Arabidopsis thaliana: one gene and its partners. The protein of the gene in region 3 interacts with the protein of the main gene of each other region in a pairwise test. Each region holds a gene or a part of one and is shown on either strand. Other genes may lie near its edges.

Region 1 (5,152 bases), on a different chromosome or scaffold from region 3:
CACTTTGTTAAAAGAATAATTCAGTGTCTGGACACTAAAATCTTCCAAAAACCCCATATACATATATGCTATTTCGATACTTATATTTATTTACTCAGCATAAAAAATATTAACCATGTATTCATAGTAAAATGTTTCATGTGATATCAAACCAGCGACAACAAAAGTATTATTCCCCTCATTATGTTTGACTCCTATTATATTTTTATTTTAATTTTTTTCACTATCATCTTTCTTGCAATGAAAGTCCCATATATTGGTCAACATTTCAAACCACTTGTTCTCTTTTATGTTTTGGTAAGAGCTATCTTCTAAATTTATAATACGCATAAATTCAAAAGTAAAAGAAAATTTTGGTCATGAATGTTGTTTAAGTCATTTGGAGATACGAAATCAAATCTCCTTGTAGATTTTGTTTTTAGAATGTCGTTCCTTTTTCATCATCTTAGCTATATCTACAGCTATATATCCTATCTTTAAACCTATATTATTTTTTCCTCTCTTCACCAAAGCCATGTTTTTTAGTTGTGGCGAAAAATAAGAAATCCATACATCAACATATCGCTTTCGTTACCTTAAATTTTGGCTTGTTATGAAGGCATGTCATAACGTTTCTAGTCACAACTCACAAGCATACCAACGACCATGATAAATCCAAAAAGTAGAAACAATCTATTATCTAAACCCCCAAAAGACAAAAGAAAAAAGTAGAAAGAAAAGGTAGGCAGAGATATAATGCTGGTTTTATTTGTTTGTTAAAAGATATTGCTATTTCTGCCAATATTAAAACTTCACTTAGGAAGACTTGAACCTACCACACGTTAGTGACTAATGAGAGCCACTAGATAATTGCATGCATCCCACACTAGTACTAATTTTCTAGGGATATTAGAGTTTTCTAATCACCTACTTCCTACTATGTGTATGTTATCTACTGGCGTGGATGCTTTTAAAGATGTTACGTTATTATTTTGTTCGGTTTGGAAAACGGCTCAATCGTTATGAGTTCGTAAGACACATACATTGTTCCATGATAAAATGCAACCCCACGAACCATTTGCGACAAGCAAAACAACATGGTCAAAATTAAAAGCTAACAATTAGCCAGCGATTCAAAAAGTCAACCTTCTAGATGGATTTAACAACATATCGATAGGATTCAAGATTAAAAATAAGCACACTCTTATTAATGTTAAAAAACGAATGAGATGAAAATATTTGGCGTGTTCACACACATAATCTAGAAGACAGATTCGAGTTGCTCTCCTTTGTTTTGCTTTGGGAGGGACCCATTATTACCGCCCAGCAGCTTCCCAGCCTTCCTTTATAAGGCTTAATTTATATTTATTTAAATTTTATATGTTCTTCTATTATAATACTAAAAGGGGAATACAAATTTCTACAGAGGATGATATTCAATCCACGGTTCACCCAAACCGATTTTATAAAATTTATTATTAAATCTTTTTTAATTGTTAAATTGGTTTAAATCTGAACTCTGTTTACTTACATTGATTAAAATTCTAAACCATCATAAGTAAAAAATAATATGATTAAGACTAATAAATCTTAATAGTTAATACTACTCGGTTTACTACATGAAATTTCATACCATCAATTGTTTTAATAATCTTTAAAATTGTTAGGACCGGTAAAACCATACCAATTAAACCGGAGATCCATATTAATTTAATTAAGAAAATAAAAATAAAAGGAATAAATTGTCTTATTTAAACGCTGACTTCACTGTCTTCCTCCCTCCAAATTATTAGATATACCAAACCAGAGAAAACAAATACATAATCGGAGAAATACAGATTACAGAGAGCGAGAGAGATCGACGGCGAAGCTCTTTACCCGGAAACCATTGAAATCGGACGGTTTAGTGAAAATGGAGGATCAAGTTGGGTTTGGGTTCCGTCCGAACGACGAGGAGCTCGTTGGTCACTATCTCCGTAACAAAATCGAAGGAAACACTAGCCGCGACGTTGAAGTAGCCATCAGCGAGGTCAACATCTGTAGCTACGATCCTTGGAACTTGCGCTGTAAGTTCCGAATTTTCTGAATTTCATTTGCAAGTAATCGATTTAGGTTTTTGATTTTAGGGTTTTTTTTTGTTTTGAACAGTCCAGTCAAAGTACAAATCGAGAGATGCTATGTGGTACTTCTTCTCTCGTAGAGAAAACAACAAAGGGAATCGACAGAGCAGGACAACGGTTTCTGGTAAATGGAAGCTTACCGGAGAATCTGTTGAGGTCAAGGACCAGTGGGGATTTTGTAGTGAGGGCTTTCGTGGTAAGATTGGTCATAAAAGGGTTTTGGTGTTCCTCGATGGAAGATACCCTGACAAAACCAAATCTGATTGGGTTATCCACGAGTTCCACTACGACCTCTTACCAGAACATCAGGTTTTCTTCTATTCATATATATATATATATATATATGTGGATATATATATATGTGGTTTCTGCTGATTCATAGTTAGAATTTGAGTTATGCAAATTAGAAACTATGTAATGTAACTCTATTTAGGTTCAGCAGCTATTTTAGGCTTAGCTTACTCTCACCAATGTTTTATACTGATGAACTTATGTGCTTACCTCCGGAAATTTTACAGAGGACATATGTCATCTGCAGACTTGAGTACAAGGGTGATGATGCGGACATTCTATCTGCTTATGCAATAGATCCCACTCCCGCTTTTGTCCCCAATATGACTAGTAGTGCAGGTTCTGTGGTGAGTCTTTCTCCATATACACTTAGCTTTGAGTAGGCAGATCAAAAAAGAGCTTGTGTCTACTGATTTGATGTTTTCCTAAACTGTTGATTCGTTTCAGGTCAACCAATCACGTCAACGAAATTCAGGATCTTACAACACTTACTCTGAGTATGATTCAGCAAATCATGGCCAGCAGTTTAATGAAAACTCTAACATTATGCAGCAGCAACCACTTCAAGGATCATTCAACCCTCTCCTTGAGTATGATTTTGCAAATCACGGCGGTCAGTGGCTGAGTGACTATATCGACCTGCAACAGCAAGTTCCTTACTTGGCACCTTATGAAAATGAGTCGGAGATGATTTGGAAGCATGTGATTGAAGAAAATTTTGAGTTTTTGGTAGATGAAAGGACATCTATGCAACAGCATTACAGTGATCACCGGCCCAAAAAACCTGTGTCTGGGGTTTTGCCTGATGATAGCAGTGATACTGAAACTGGATCAATGGTAAGCTTTTTTTACTCATATATAATCACAACCTATATCGCTTCTATATCTCACACGCTGAATTTTGGCTTTTAACAGATTTTCGAAGACACTTCGAGCTCCACTGATAGTGTTGGTAGTTCAGATGAACCGGGCCATACTCGTATAGATGATATTCCATCATTGAACATTATTGAGCCTTTGCACAATTATAAGGCACAAGAGCAACCAAAGCAGCAGAGCAAAGAAAAGGTTTAACACTCTCACTGAGAAACATGACTTTGATACGAAATCTGAATCAACATTTCATCAAAAAGATTTAGTCAAATGACCTCTAAATTATGAGCTATGGGTCTGCTTTCAGGTGATAAGTTCGCAGAAAAGCGAATGCGAGTGGAAAATGGCTGAAGACTCGATCAAGATACCTCCATCCACCAACACGGTGAAGCAGAGCTGGATTGTTTTGGAGAATGCACAGTGGAACTATCTCAAGAACATGATCATTGGTGTCTTGTTGTTCATCTCCGTCATTAGTTGGATCATTCTTGTTGGTTAAGAGGTCAAATCGGATTCTTGCTCAAAATTTGTATTTCTTAGAATGTGTGTTTTTTTTTGTTTTTTTTTCTTTGCTCTGTTTTCTCGCTCCGGAAAAGTTTGAAGTTATATTTTATTAGTATGTAAAGAAGAGAAAAAGGGGGAAAGAAGAGAGAAGAAAAATGCAGAAAATCATATATATGAATTGGAAAAAAGTATATGTAATAATAATTAGTGCATCGTTTTGTGGTGTAGTTTATATAAATAAAGTGATATATAGTCTTGTATAAGAAAGGGATTTTACATGAGACCCAAATATGAGTAAAGGGTGTTGGCTCAAAGATTCATTTAGCAACCAAAGTTGCATTTGCAAGGAAATGAAAAGGTGTTAACAATGTCACTGCGTAACATGACTTCGATACAAAATCTCAAACAATACATCTTCAACTGTGGATTATGATGGACTTGGGGTTGCAGGTGATATGTCTATAGAAAAACGGGTGGGAATGGAAAATGGCTGAAGAAGAAAGCTCCAACTAAGCATCATAACTGGATTGTTTTAGAGGAGATGAGTCAAAGGAATTCACAGTGGAACTATCTCAAGAACATGATCATTGGCTTCTTATTGTTCATCTCCATCATTGGCTGGATCATTCTGGTTCAAGAGGTCAAATTATATATACATAACGGATCTAAGAAGTATAGTGTAGTCAATTAAAACAAAACGAGACTTGAAAATAAGCATAAGTATTATTAAGTTAACCCAATATTCGTTTCAATGCTTTAGTTATCATCAGAATTCTCAACATTTTCAGATATTTAACTTGCCTTTGGTTGCTTTCTCGCCATGGTAGTAGCATTCTCCGGATAAGAATCAAGGGGAGCCTCAACTTCGGCTTCAACCGTCTCCTCGTCTTTCCTATGACATTCACTTGGTGTTGCAACAATGTGTTGATGCCCCACATTCATAGGAGAGTCCCACATATCTCCAACATTCATAGGAGGGTTCCACATATGCCCACCATTCCAAGGAGGGTACCACCACATATGCCCAGCATTCCAAGAAAGATGGAGCGACGATATCGTGAGGAACAAGGTTTTTGTAGGGCAAATAATTGTAGGTGGTTGAGTTATATCCGCCCGCACAGAGTAACAGACCAACAATTAACTTTTGATATTTTAGTAAGGTCTAATTCAATTTTTGGTGGCGATAATATTTGGCTTAGTCATAAAATACAGTATGGTATAATAATGTAAAGGTTTCTCTTATCTTCAAACCAAAAGACTATACTGGAAGCTGATGGGATCATACGATTCTGAAAAAATAAGACATATATTGCAACAGAGATCCAATTTGTATCAAAAATATTGTCGGCTCAAAAATCTGACCCACCAAGAATCTAATCAAGTGC
Region 2 (6,200 bases), on a different chromosome or scaffold from region 3:
ACCGGCTTTGCAGCTCAATGGTGGAAGCAGATTGAAGTCCACACTGAGCGCTAGAGATATCGATATGGAGATGGAGATGGAATTGAGACTCCGCGGTTTTGGCAACAATGTGGAAGAGACGTTCGGGTCTTATGTTTCCTCTCCAAGTAGGAATTCTCAAATGGGTCAAAACATGAACCAACATTATCCATCTTCCCCGGTGAGACAACCGCCATCTCAACACGGGTTCGAATCTTCAGCAGCTGCAGCGGTTGCAGTGATGAAAGCGAGATCAACCGCCTTTGCGAAACGTAGCTTGAGCTTCAAACCAGCTACTCAAGCAGCACCACAGTCGAATCTCTCGGATTGGGGATCTCCAAACGGGAAGCTGGAATGGGGAATGAAAGGAGAAGAGCTGAATAAGATGAGAAGAAGTGTTTCCTTTGGAATCCATGGAAACAACAACAATAACGCAGCTAGAGACTACAGGGACGAGCCAGATGTGTCATGGGTTAACTCTTTAGTTAAAGACAGTACTGTGGTGTCTGAGAGAAGCTTTGGAATGAATGAGAGGGTTCGGATAATGTCGTGGGCTGAGCAAATGTACAGAGAGAAGGAGCAGACTGTGGTGTAAACACACACAAAGATGGTTTCTTATATATATTGCTTTTGGGCCATCTCTGCAAATTTGATTCTTTAATTTTTGTGACTTTCTTTAGTTGTTACTGTTATTAGTAGTATATGGTTTGTTGTCACTACGAGTCTACGTGATGAAAAGATAGAAGTTAATTGCATTAGTTTCTATATTCGTTTCTCATCCTCTTGTAATTTATCAAACCATGAAATGGCTAAGCAATCCAAACCGTAATATGGCTGAAACAAATATACCATGTCATCAACACGAAACATGCACAACGCCACCTCAATGAGCTTCAAAACAGGCTTTAGGCTATACTCAACAACGGTACATAACATAAGTCATCAGAGGCTTCGCATACTTCCCAAATTGGTGATGTTTTAACAAAGTCTTACTTTAAAATTTCATTAAAATAGTAGAATTTTCTTAGATTGACATACTATACAGTATAAGCTTTTTCATAGAAAATATGTCAAAGATGTTATGGGACGCACGTGTGCCTCAGACACATCACTGCGCACGTGGTGAACTTCAAGTAAAATTCTTATTATATAAATAAAGGTATGAGTACGTATGATATATCCGATGTGTATCTGACTCACTCATACTAACAAAATACAGAGGTTTGGGTTGGGTTACTTTGGCTTTGGTTCAAAGCAAAACTGTTGAACGAACAACTAAAAGTCTAAAACCAAATGGAGTCATAATAAAGTATACAAATTCTGCCAAGAAAATAAATAAATTTACATATATATATATATGTAGTAAGATGATGTAAATAAAATGGATTGGTAATGGCAATGGTTGGTGCCGTATACATATATGTGTGTATGAGATTCCTTAGCCTTTACTTCTCTCAAACAGAAAGCTTCATACTATTATCATTTTGAGTATTTGACCTGTCTTTTTAATTTTCATTTGATTTTGCAAAACATATATACATCTATTTCTCTCTTAACGAACACTGATGCTTCACCCTCAACATGCGATGGAAACATGATTGTTACAGAAAACGAAAGATTAGTTTCTTATCCCAAAACGTAAGATTAATTTGGTACTAATCTACTTTTAGATTTGGTGATTAGGAGGAGTAAACTTGTGTTTAATATAAAACTGATCTTTGTTGCTTTAATATGCATGTTTGGTGAATTACACCCGGAAACATAATCAGATCAACTGGCACATGAGACATTAAATTCATGTTGGATCCTTATGTTTCATAGAACATTATGTTTATGAAACAAAAATGTAAATCAATCGGAAACTTTGGTGGTATACAAGTAAATAATTTGGAAAAATACATGTTTAAGCAAAAGTAATTGTTACTAATATCCTAATTTCTACAATTGTTGTTTCGATGGTCCCTTTCTTTAGGTGAGGATTGAGACAATCTTTTAGAATCTTTGATTCCACTCTTCGCTCCAAACTCTACTTTGCTATAACAACAACTTCAAAATAGATTAGTTAAGCGAATCAGGTTACATTTTAAAGAAAACGATATAGAGAGAGCAACTTTGTATATAATTTTAAAATTCTTCACCTGAAAGCCTTTAAAAACCAGTTCAAGATAAACCCATCTCACCAAACTTTAGTAATCACAAAACTAATTAACGTCAAACAATAACAATTTTTTCACAAATTTAATTCTTTTATTCCTTTATTCGTTGCTCTTATATTTCCATCGATCTTTCTCCTTGTCTCACAAACATTCTGACATTTTAGAGAGCCTCGACAGAGAATTATTTTTTTCTTTTTTATTTTCGTTTACAAGTTTCAATTCTTCTCTATATATTAAAAAAACAAACAGATGCAACCTTGGAGAAGAAAATTTCCATTGTTCGAAACAGGAGTTACAATGAAACAGAGGAAGAACAGTAATCTCTCAATCTTCGTCGTAGTCTTCTCTGTTTTCCTCTTCGGGATCTTCATGTACAATGAAGACGTCAAGTCCATCGCAGAGTTTCCTTTCTCCACCTCAAAACCTCACGACGTCCACGACGAAGCGACACCGATCACAGAGATCACAACACTACCGGTTCAAGAGTCGATCAAGAACTCAGACCCAATTCAGGAATCGATCAAAAACGCAGACTCAGTTCAAGATTCAGTTAAAGACGTAGCAGAACCAGTTCAAGAGGAGGTATCGAAAACAGAGGAAGTTAAAAAGATTGAGCTTTTCGCTGCGACGGAGGATGAAGAAGACGTGGAATTGCCGCCGGAGGAATGCGATTTGTTCACCGGAGAATGGGTTTTTGATAACGAGACGCATCCATTGTATAAAGAGGATCAATGTGAGTTCTTGACGGCGCAAGTCACTTGCATGAGAAATGGAAGAAGAGATTCTCTGTATCAGAACTGGAGATGGCAACCTAGAGATTGTTCTTTACCAAAGTAAACCGGAAAAAAGCTCTGTTTTTGTTTTCATCGATTCTTTGGGTTGGTTTAGTTTTGGTTTCTTCTAATTTTGTTTCCGGTTTTGTTTGATTTGGTGAAGGTTCAAAGCGAAATTGCTGTTGGAGAAGCTAAGGAACAAGAGAATGATGTTCGTTGGAGATTCCCTAAACCGGAACCAATGGGAATCAATGGTTTGTTTGGTTCAATCAGTGGTTCCTCCCGGTCGAAAAAGCTTGAACAAAACCGGTTCTCTCTCCGTCTTCCGAGTCGAGGTAATTGAAACCGACTAGTTTATTTCTTATAGTAATGATAATGTGTTTAGTGGAGTTGCTGATTTTCGAGAGTAGTTAAGATAAGTGTGGATTAGTTTTCTAGTTATTAATGTTGAATTTTTGGGTGGTTTTAAAAAGGATTATAATGCGACGGTGGAGTTTTATTGGGCACCATTTTTGGTGGAATCGAATTCAGATGATCCAAATATGCATAGTATACTTAACCGTATAATAATGCCTGAGTCCATTGAAAAGCATGGAGTCAACTGGAAAGGCGTTGACTTTCTTGTTTTCAACACTTACATTTGGTGGATGAACACATTCGCTATGAAAGTCCTGTAAGTCTACTACTACTTCAATATTATTACCTCTATGGTGTGTTATGTATTTTACAAATTTTGTGAATTGAGATTGTGGAAATTGACGATGAAATCAGACGAGGATCGTTCGATAAAGGAGACACCGAGTATGAGGAGATCGAACGGCCAGTAGCGTATAGGAGAGTGATGAGGACTTGGGGAGATTGGGTGGAACGAAATATTGATCCTCTACGTACCACTGTCTTCTTTGCTAGCATGTCTCCTCTTCACATCAAGTAATTAATCTTCCTTTCTTTTTTTCTTAATTGTTGCTTCAATACACAGATTTTAGTTAGTGATGCTTTGCTTGCAAATTGAAATTACTGACAAATTGATAGGTCACTCTCCATGTTTGACTAGTGTCACCATTGAAAATTTGAAATGATTACATAATTTAGTTTCAGTGATTGAGTGACATATGCGTTTCTTAGAAATTAATTCCTACTAGCTCCTGACTCCATTTAATTGACCTGCTAAATATTATACGTGAGAGTTAGTAGTTTTTAAACTTTTCCTTAAACCAAAATGATTTCAAATATGATTTGATTTAAAACAGGAAAAGGTTGATCATTTTGTGTTTTTCTCTGGATTAGGTTATTGATAGATTGCCAATTATAATGTCACTTAGTTAATTCTTTATTTTTGTTATAATAATCCAAAACAAAAAAAACACAGGTTGGTATAATCATTAATAACACCAGACCATAATATTTTAAACCTGCGGACGTAACTTAACTTGAAAACCAAGCAACTACCAGAAAAGAAAAAGAGATAACAAGTCGTTGTCCTTTGAAAAATCCACACAGTATACAAAAATCAGCTAAAAACATAAAAACTCTAAATAGTATTTCATTTTAACGAGTTGGTGAACCACCCACATATTAGACTTTTAATTGTATGTGTTTATCTTAACTAACAAAATATAGTTTGTAATTTTTGTTGTTATATTGTATAGGAGCTTGGATTGGGAGAATCCAGATGGGATCAAGTGTGCATTAGAGACGACACCAATCCTAAACATGTCAATGCCATTCAGCGTAGGAACAGACTACAGACTGTTTTCAGTAGCGGAAAACGTCACGCATTCTCTTAATGTTCCGGTTTACTTTCTCAACATTACCAAACTCTCCGAATACCGGAAAGATGCTCACACTTCGGTTCACACAATCCGACAAGGCAAAATGCTGACGCCGGAGCAACAAGCCGATCCCAACACTTACGCCGATTGTATCCATTGGTGTCTTCCCGGTTTACCTGACACGTGGAATGAGTTCCTTTACACACGTATCATTTCCCGTTCGTGACCTACAAAATATTTGAAATATCTCTTTTTCAATATTTTTTCCCACTTTGCTCCATCCAATGGAAGAGCCTTGAAATTTTATTATTTTGATGTCCTAATGTTCATAATTTTTCTTGAATTGTAATTGTGAAATGTTTCTTTCTTTTTCTTTAATGGTTATTAGAGTGCCTAGTAGGCTATTTTAACTGTTTTTGTACTCTTAAAACTTTGAAATGAGGTGGATAACAAAGGATGCCAAATGTTTTTTTTTTGTTCAATGAAGTGGGTAAAACTTGCTCACATTCGACTGTTTCTTTTAACGGTCGATTTTTTTGTTAACCGGGAAAATAAATATAAAGGTCATTATGTTTCAATCTCTTGCTATTTTGTTGGACTATTAAGATTTTTGAATGTTAGATCGTTACAAAGGATTCTTCCATTAAAACAGTAACATGATCACAAAACCACATCTTTTAATCACTATACAATCGAACCTTTTGAAAGAATGAATGTGTAGGAGAAGAAGAAGAAAGAAGTTAGATATGTCAGTGGTTACTCGGAAGTCTGGACCGGCGTACTTGGAACCGGCATTCCAACGTAGCCAACTCCAACAACAAAGAAGGCAATGGACTGCAAGAAAAGATACACGTAAAGGTATGTCCTCCCAAACACAAAATCATAGTATCCACATATGAAGAGATACATTCCAACCATTATCTCTCGCCATCGAAGTCTGCACAAATTCGAAATCATATCATTGATTGATTAGCCATTTCGCACGATAAATCTATTCGGGGAAAAAGTTCAAACCTCTCGGGGAAGCTATAGTGATCAGGAAAAATGAGGTTTTCCCTGAGATTGTTACTCTCTCCTAGTTTTTGTGTAACAATCCATTCTTTAACTCTACTAGTCTCTAGCAATCCAATGAGAGTTCCTATACTCCTATGCATCGCCATTACGTTTTCAAATAAGATCCAATAGAGTATGAGGTAAAATGATTTAGGTGTTGCAATAGCGTTTAGGATAGTGATGGTAGCTGGAATGTAGATAGTTGTCCATTTAGGGACTTCGATCTCCGGGAATATAACGGTAGCTGGCAAAATCACGCAGTAGAAAACGAATGTGAAGATGTGTACAACAATCTTCCTCAAAAAGAAGAAGTTGTATATCAAATACACCTTCTTCCATAAAGACACATTCTGTTTCAAACATGTCACACAAAAAAAGATAAAGGTCATTGAACTATATTTGTGTTCCGAAAGGAATTAGATTTGGGG
Region 3 (5,694 bases):
TATATATAACATGTACCTGCAAGCTAGTGGGATTTCCTCTGGATTCGGAGGATCTGGAGCAATATAACAAGTGAAAGAGTCTCTCCAATTCAAAGGAGAAGAATGATAGAGATCGAAATCATTGTTATAAACAAATCTCTTGTTGTTATCGGTAGGAAGATATTGGTTCTTGACAACTGGATCTTGTTCATGAAACCTTCGAACACTCTCTTTGATCTCTTCAAGAACAGTTAAAGGAACATCATGATTGATCACTTGGAAAAATCCCCAATTCTCAGCTGCGTCTTTGATCTTCGAAATGACAACGTTTCTTGAAGATGTGTTACGATCTCCGAGGTCGATGATTGGGACGGTGAGGTTTAAGCCGGAGATATCAGAAGGTCTGTTGTTTGATAAAATAGAAGAAGGGACATGAAACATGCTAGGAACTTCGGTTATTTCGGCATCGACGAGTCCTTTCACTCCTGTCTTCGTCGAGATAAAAGTCGTGAGATCGTTTAAACGATCGATTTTTTCAGAATTCTCTGTCATGTTTTTTTCTTTTTTTCTTTCTTTCAAGATTCTGTTTTTTGTTGTTGTTCTGAAGACTCAAGAAGAAGAGGAAGATTCAATTTAAGACGGAACTAAAGATAAGTGTCGAAGTTTGTGGTGTCTGTGATTGAGAGCGACGTGTTGTGTTGTGCAAGGAATTCAAAGTATTAAAATTGACTTTTAAGATATTCCGACAGAAACAAAAACAGAATTGATAAGAGGGAGATTCAGTTTAAGACAGAACTAAAGATAAGTGTCCAAGTTTGTGGTGTCTGTGATTGATAGCGACGTGTTGTGTTGTGCAAGGAATTCAAAGTATCAAAATTGAGTGTTGTGCAAGGAATTTAAAGTATTTAAATTGACTTTTAAGAGATTCCGACAGAAACAAAAACAGAATTGAAGACTAGAAGATTGAAAATAAATTAAAAGAAAAAGAACCTTAAAAAGAAAACAATAAAAGTGGAGATGCGGGGTATCGATCCCCGTGCCTCTCGCATGCTAAGCGAGCGCTCTACCATCTGAGCTACATCCCCATGAATTGAACGAGTAGCAATTATATAATATCTAACGCGTTTTGTAAAGTATAGTAGATCAATTTTTCATGTATCTTATATTCTTATTCAGTACCGCCTTTGCCTTGTTGGTTGTACCAAGTAACCAACATTTGTATGGATCTTTAAATACTTAATGATTAAAAGATGTTTAATTATTATTATTTTGTTATATAGCTTAGTGCTCTAAAATGTTCATGAAAACCAACTTGAAAAATATTATGATAGCTAGTTTGTATTCAATTTAATTTGTGTTTGTAAATTATTTTTCATTTTCTTTACTATTAATTTTGTTTTATTTACCATTTTATTTTACGGGACCAAATCCGACTACCTACGAATGTTAGTAAATCCGGTTCCGACAAAATTACACATATATAAACTTTTTTTTTCTGAAATATGGTTCTCATATTTAAACCAAGATTCTCAAGTTAAAAATATTGTCCTAATATTTAATCCAAGATTCCCAAGCTAAAAATATGGTTCTTTTGTCGAAAGTAAAAAAGTACATATTCTTCTCGGAGAAATGAATCGATCGTGTAAAATATAGTTTCTCGTTGGGAGTTAAAATTTAATAAATTTGATAATGTTTTTTTTTCTTTTTTTTGAAATGTTAATAAATAAACCTAAACCAATAGAACCGCAGTTTTTCCTCCTCGCCGAAACGAAGAAGATTCTCCTTCTCTCCGTCAGACAAATCTACGAACAAGCGAGCCTGAGCTTAAGACCAAACTCATAGAGATGGGTTTCTTCTCTTTTCTTGGAAGAGTTCTCTTCGCTTCTCTCTTTATCCTCTCCGCTTGGCAAATGTGAGGCCTTTTTCTTTTTTCTCCATTCTCGATCTGTTCTCGCGTCTCTTCGTGTTCCTTGATTGAGATTTCGGATTGTTTTCCGATGCTTAATAGTGAATTGCTTCGTGCTAGATCTAATCTGGGAATTGAGAAGCTTTATAGGCTCTTTTTGATATCTAGGGTTTCGTGAAATTGGATATTTATCTGAATCTATCACGATTTGATTTTGAGTACTTGTTATGTTTCGATCTAGATTTCTTACTGTTATTGATTTGTATTTTGAGCTTGATTTTAGGTTTTGGTGATCTGGTCACTTTAGATTAATCAAAGTTTGAATATTTATGTATCTTGTGTTATCAATCAATGTATGATGTTGTTTGATCATGGTTGAATCTGGCTTGGGCTTATTACCGCATTTAGGGCACATATAATTGTTCTCTCTTATATTCGTTTATAGATGTCTTTAGCTCTGTTGTTCATATGGTTAGACGTTGAATTGGTTTGGTTATTCCAATGTTTAGTGGTCTAGAGACAAAGCATCATTTACTCTAAATGGAAGATGATCGATAAATGTAAAATAAGATTGTTCTCGTACTATTCGTTAGTCGTTACTAGGATTTTAGTTTGTTTACTTGATAGCTCAAAATATTATCTTCCTCTTTTGACTATATTACTAAATTTTAACAACGCTTATTTGGGGGAATTTGAATAGGTTCAATGATGGTGGTCCTGCAGCTAAAGAATTGGCTCCAAAGCTTGATTTGGTTAAGGCACATTTATCTTCTAGATTAGGAGTAACATTGCCCAAAATAGAGGTAATGACCTGGTTATGATGTTCTTGTCTCTTGTTCGCACTCTTTAAAAGTGTCTTTTTATGACTTGGAGAATGAATTTTTATAGGTGAGACAAGTCGTTGCTACTATTATTGCCCTGAAAGGAGTCGGAGGCTTACTCTTTGTTATCGGAAACACCTTCGGTGCTTATCTTCTGGTTAGGCTTCTTCTTGTTCAACTTACAAATAAGGGATTCAAAAAGCTTGCTATTTGTATGATCTCTTAAAATCTTAATCTTTTTTGTTTCAGGCTTCCTACTTGGTGGTTTTCGGTCCTATTCTCTATGATTTCTACAACTACGGACCTCAGGAACGTCATTTCTCTCTTCTGTTGACAGAGTTCTTGCAGGTTTGTCCAGAAACTTATTATCAATTATCGTAATCTTAAGAAACGCAGCTTTGCACCTTTAAAGTTTCAGCCTTGTAAAGCCAAGAGATCATACTGTTTATCACAATGGACAATATCTCGATAAAAATCTCATGCCTTTTGTTATTGCAGAGCGTTGCACTCTTTGGAGCGTTACTCTTCTTTATCGGAATGAAGAACTCGACACCCGCCAAGAAGAATTTGAAGAAGAGGACACCTAAGCCGAAAGCTGCCTAGTATCAATATTAGTTTTCTTCTGGTTTTGCCATGAGCAAGCAATACCTTGCCTTTTCCTTTTTTCCCGACAAAATCTTTCCTTAGAACTTTTGTTTTCTTTCTGTTTTAGGATTCTTAGATTAGCTCATGATCTTATACTAATACTGTGATTTGATATTGGGGATCTTGAAGTTTTGGTTTGTTGAAACTGGAACCATGCAGCTACAGAACAATGATTTCATGACCTTGGAATCCAAACAGCTAAAACAGAAGTTTATTCAAAAAATGGCTTCACTAACGCCTCATAAGAACCATGTTAAAGATCAAGTCTCTCTCTCGTTAAATTTTAAAAGCTCGGCTATTCCAATTGAGTAGTGTTGATGTCGAAGCTCCACACATAGATTCCATATTCCTTCCACTTAAAGACCTCCAGATGGGATTACAAACATACGGGAACAGAACTCGGTTGGTTCCATGAAAGCAGTGAATCATCAGGTTTTATGTTCGTATTTAACCAACTCGACTTCTATTCCTTTTTGGGCTACTAGAATTGTAAGTTTGAATAGGGTTGGACCAATAATATGAACGAAAATCCACCAATCTGAACTGAAACCTACTTCTTTAATTAAACAAAGTAAATTTGGGATCTTTTACAAAAAATATCGAAAATAACCTATAACATTGTAAGTCCATGCACTGTTATCTCTGTTGTTACTAGAAGGCATGGTCTTGTTTAGTTGTTCATCGGAATGTTGTGAACATATTGGCAGGTGAAGAATATTGCAATGGAGATATTAGATTTCTATGAAAACCATAGACTGTTCACAGAAGAGAGAGTTCACGCCGCCTTCAACAAACTTGCTACAAACCCGTAAAGTTTCGACCAAGGAATCTTTCTCTTCTTGTCTGTGTGATTTGTTCCCCTGAGAAAATATAATGTTTTGCCAGAAGTTTTGGAAATGAGATTACTCTGTTTATTGTACATCAGTTTTGCTCGTCTTGCTTCAACCATGTCTTGCCTATGCTTATACACAGTCAAAGAGGTGCAAAACTAACAAAACGTCAAAAAAAAACTGACAAGATTTGATGGTGTAAACTGTAAATAAAGCTTACAAAACGAACTGTGTTAAATCACAAACGAGAAAGCAAAACATATAATATCCAAATTTTACACAAACACAAAATATCCAAATTTTACAACAAACATAAAATATCCAAATTTTACAAGTTTCGTTTCTCCATTTTGTAAAAGAGTTCTCAAGCATGTTCCATGCATCCACATCAAAAACAAACAACAATATAAGCATTGTTTCTATAATATAGTTCTGAGCCGCACAACATAACGATGCACTGAAAAAGCGAGAGCTCCAAGACTGGAAACATAATCGTTAATACTTGAGAATCTGTATTCTTCATAAGCAATACCAGATATTCTTCGGAAAAACCTGTTGATCAGCAGATGACTCTGTTGAAGCAGCGTCTATATCTCCCAATATAAGAGAATTTGGCTCGCTTCTTGGTCTTTCCTGCATCTTATTTCAAAGATGATCGATGTTAGAACAATGTATAATAGTTGAGACTGTCCACATGACTTTCACACGAATCCAACAACAACAGAAAAAAACAAAGTGAACACTATACAATTTATTTTTTACCTGCTACTGGTCACAGTTGATAAATTGAACATCGGGAATGTGTTGGACTTTGTAGTAATCTTCTCCACCTGGTACCAGTTTCTCCTTCCACTCCCTCTTCATTCCTTCAATCTTCAGTTCCTTTAAGGATGTTATGTACTTGAGTCCATCTGGAAGTTCCTTCAACTTTTTGCAATCATCTATAGTCAAAGTACGAAGACATGGCATCGACCCTTCTTCTACTATCCACTCTTCCAACTCTGATTCTTTAGATATTTCTATAACACATAATTGAGGAAATCCGCCTTTTGAGCACACCATTCTGCTCCCTAGGAATGCCTTACGTGCTAAACGAACCGACTTCAAATGAAGCAACTTTTCTAGAATTGGCATTGGATCCTCTTCCATGCCGCAATAAATTAGAAATAAGTGTACAAGGTGGGGAGGGAATTGATGTTGATCAGGAATCTTTGACATACGTACTGCCAATCCCAACTGTTTTAGATGAATAAAATGATCCAGAACAAACTCTCCCATATAATCAACCATATATGTTTCGAGCGAAAAAAGGAAATTAAGCGTCTCGAGGTTTCGCAATTCGCGGAGAGATGACGATAGAGTTTCAAAATTGCACCTTTCGCTCAAAGATACAGCGAGATACCGGAGCTTAGTCATACGGAGGAGGTCTGTCACACTACTGTGTTGCGTTGAGAAACCATACAAGTACTCCAGGTTCACTAGATCACCCAATTCCAACTTGGTTTTATCATCC

The links.
Region 1: the proteins of AT5G43460 (region 3) and NAC001 interact in a two-hybrid assay, tested with the Arabidopsis thaliana proteins (one large-scale study listed by BioGRID).
Region 2: the proteins of AT5G43460 (region 3) and ESK1 interact in a protein complementation assay, tested with the Arabidopsis thaliana proteins (one large-scale study listed by BioGRID).

What each region holds. Positions count from the first base shown.
Region 1 is NC_003070.9:1,869-7,020, forward strand, and holds NAC001 (NAC domain containing protein 1), read left to right. Parts: upstream 1-1,762; 5' UTR 1,763-1,891; coding exon 1,892-2,045; intron 2,046-2,127; coding exon 2,128-2,408; intron 2,409-2,617; coding exon 2,618-2,737; intron 2,738-2,837; coding exon 2,838-3,227; intron 3,228-3,305; coding exon 3,306-3,458; intron 3,459-3,570; coding exon 3,571-3,762; 3' UTR 3,763-4,031; downstream 4,032-5,152. Other genes in the region: ARV1 family protein, read right to left, coding at 5,047-5,152.
Region 2 is NC_003074.8:20,777,987-20,784,186, forward strand, and holds ESK1 (trichome birefringence-like protein (DUF828)), read left to right. Parts: upstream 1-2,188; 5' UTR 2,189-2,423; coding exon 2,424-3,007; intron 3,008-3,110; coding exon 3,111-3,282; intron 3,283-3,420; coding exon 3,421-3,620; intron 3,621-3,718; coding exon 3,719-3,877; intron 3,878-4,596; coding exon 4,597-4,945; 3' UTR 4,946-5,247; downstream 5,248-6,200. Other genes in the region: SZF1 (salt-inducible zinc finger 1), read left to right, coding at 1-613; CSLA14 (cellulose synthase like A14), read right to left, coding at 5,476-5,656, 5,734-6,122. UniProt on the Arabidopsis thaliana protein: Xylan acetyltransferase required for 2-O- and 3-O-monoacetylation of xylosyl residues in xylan.
Region 3 is NC_003076.8:17,458,184-17,463,877, forward strand, and holds AT5G43460 (HR-like lesion-inducing protein-like protein), read left to right. Parts: upstream 1-1,689; 5' UTR 1,690-1,823; coding exon 1,824-1,891; intron 1,892-2,585; coding exon 2,586-2,688; intron 2,689-2,773; coding exon 2,774-2,863; intron 2,864-2,955; coding exon 2,956-3,054; intron 3,055-3,204; coding exon 3,205-3,309; 3' UTR 3,310-3,790; exon of another isoform or gene 3,791-3,894; intron 3,895-4,058; 3' UTR 4,059-4,333; downstream 4,334-5,694. Other genes in the region: AT5G43450 (2-oxoglutarate (2OG) and Fe(II)-dependent oxygenase superfamily protein), read right to left, coding at 17-531; RPP8 (Disease resistance protein (CC-NBS-LRR class) family), read right to left, coding at 4,947-5,694.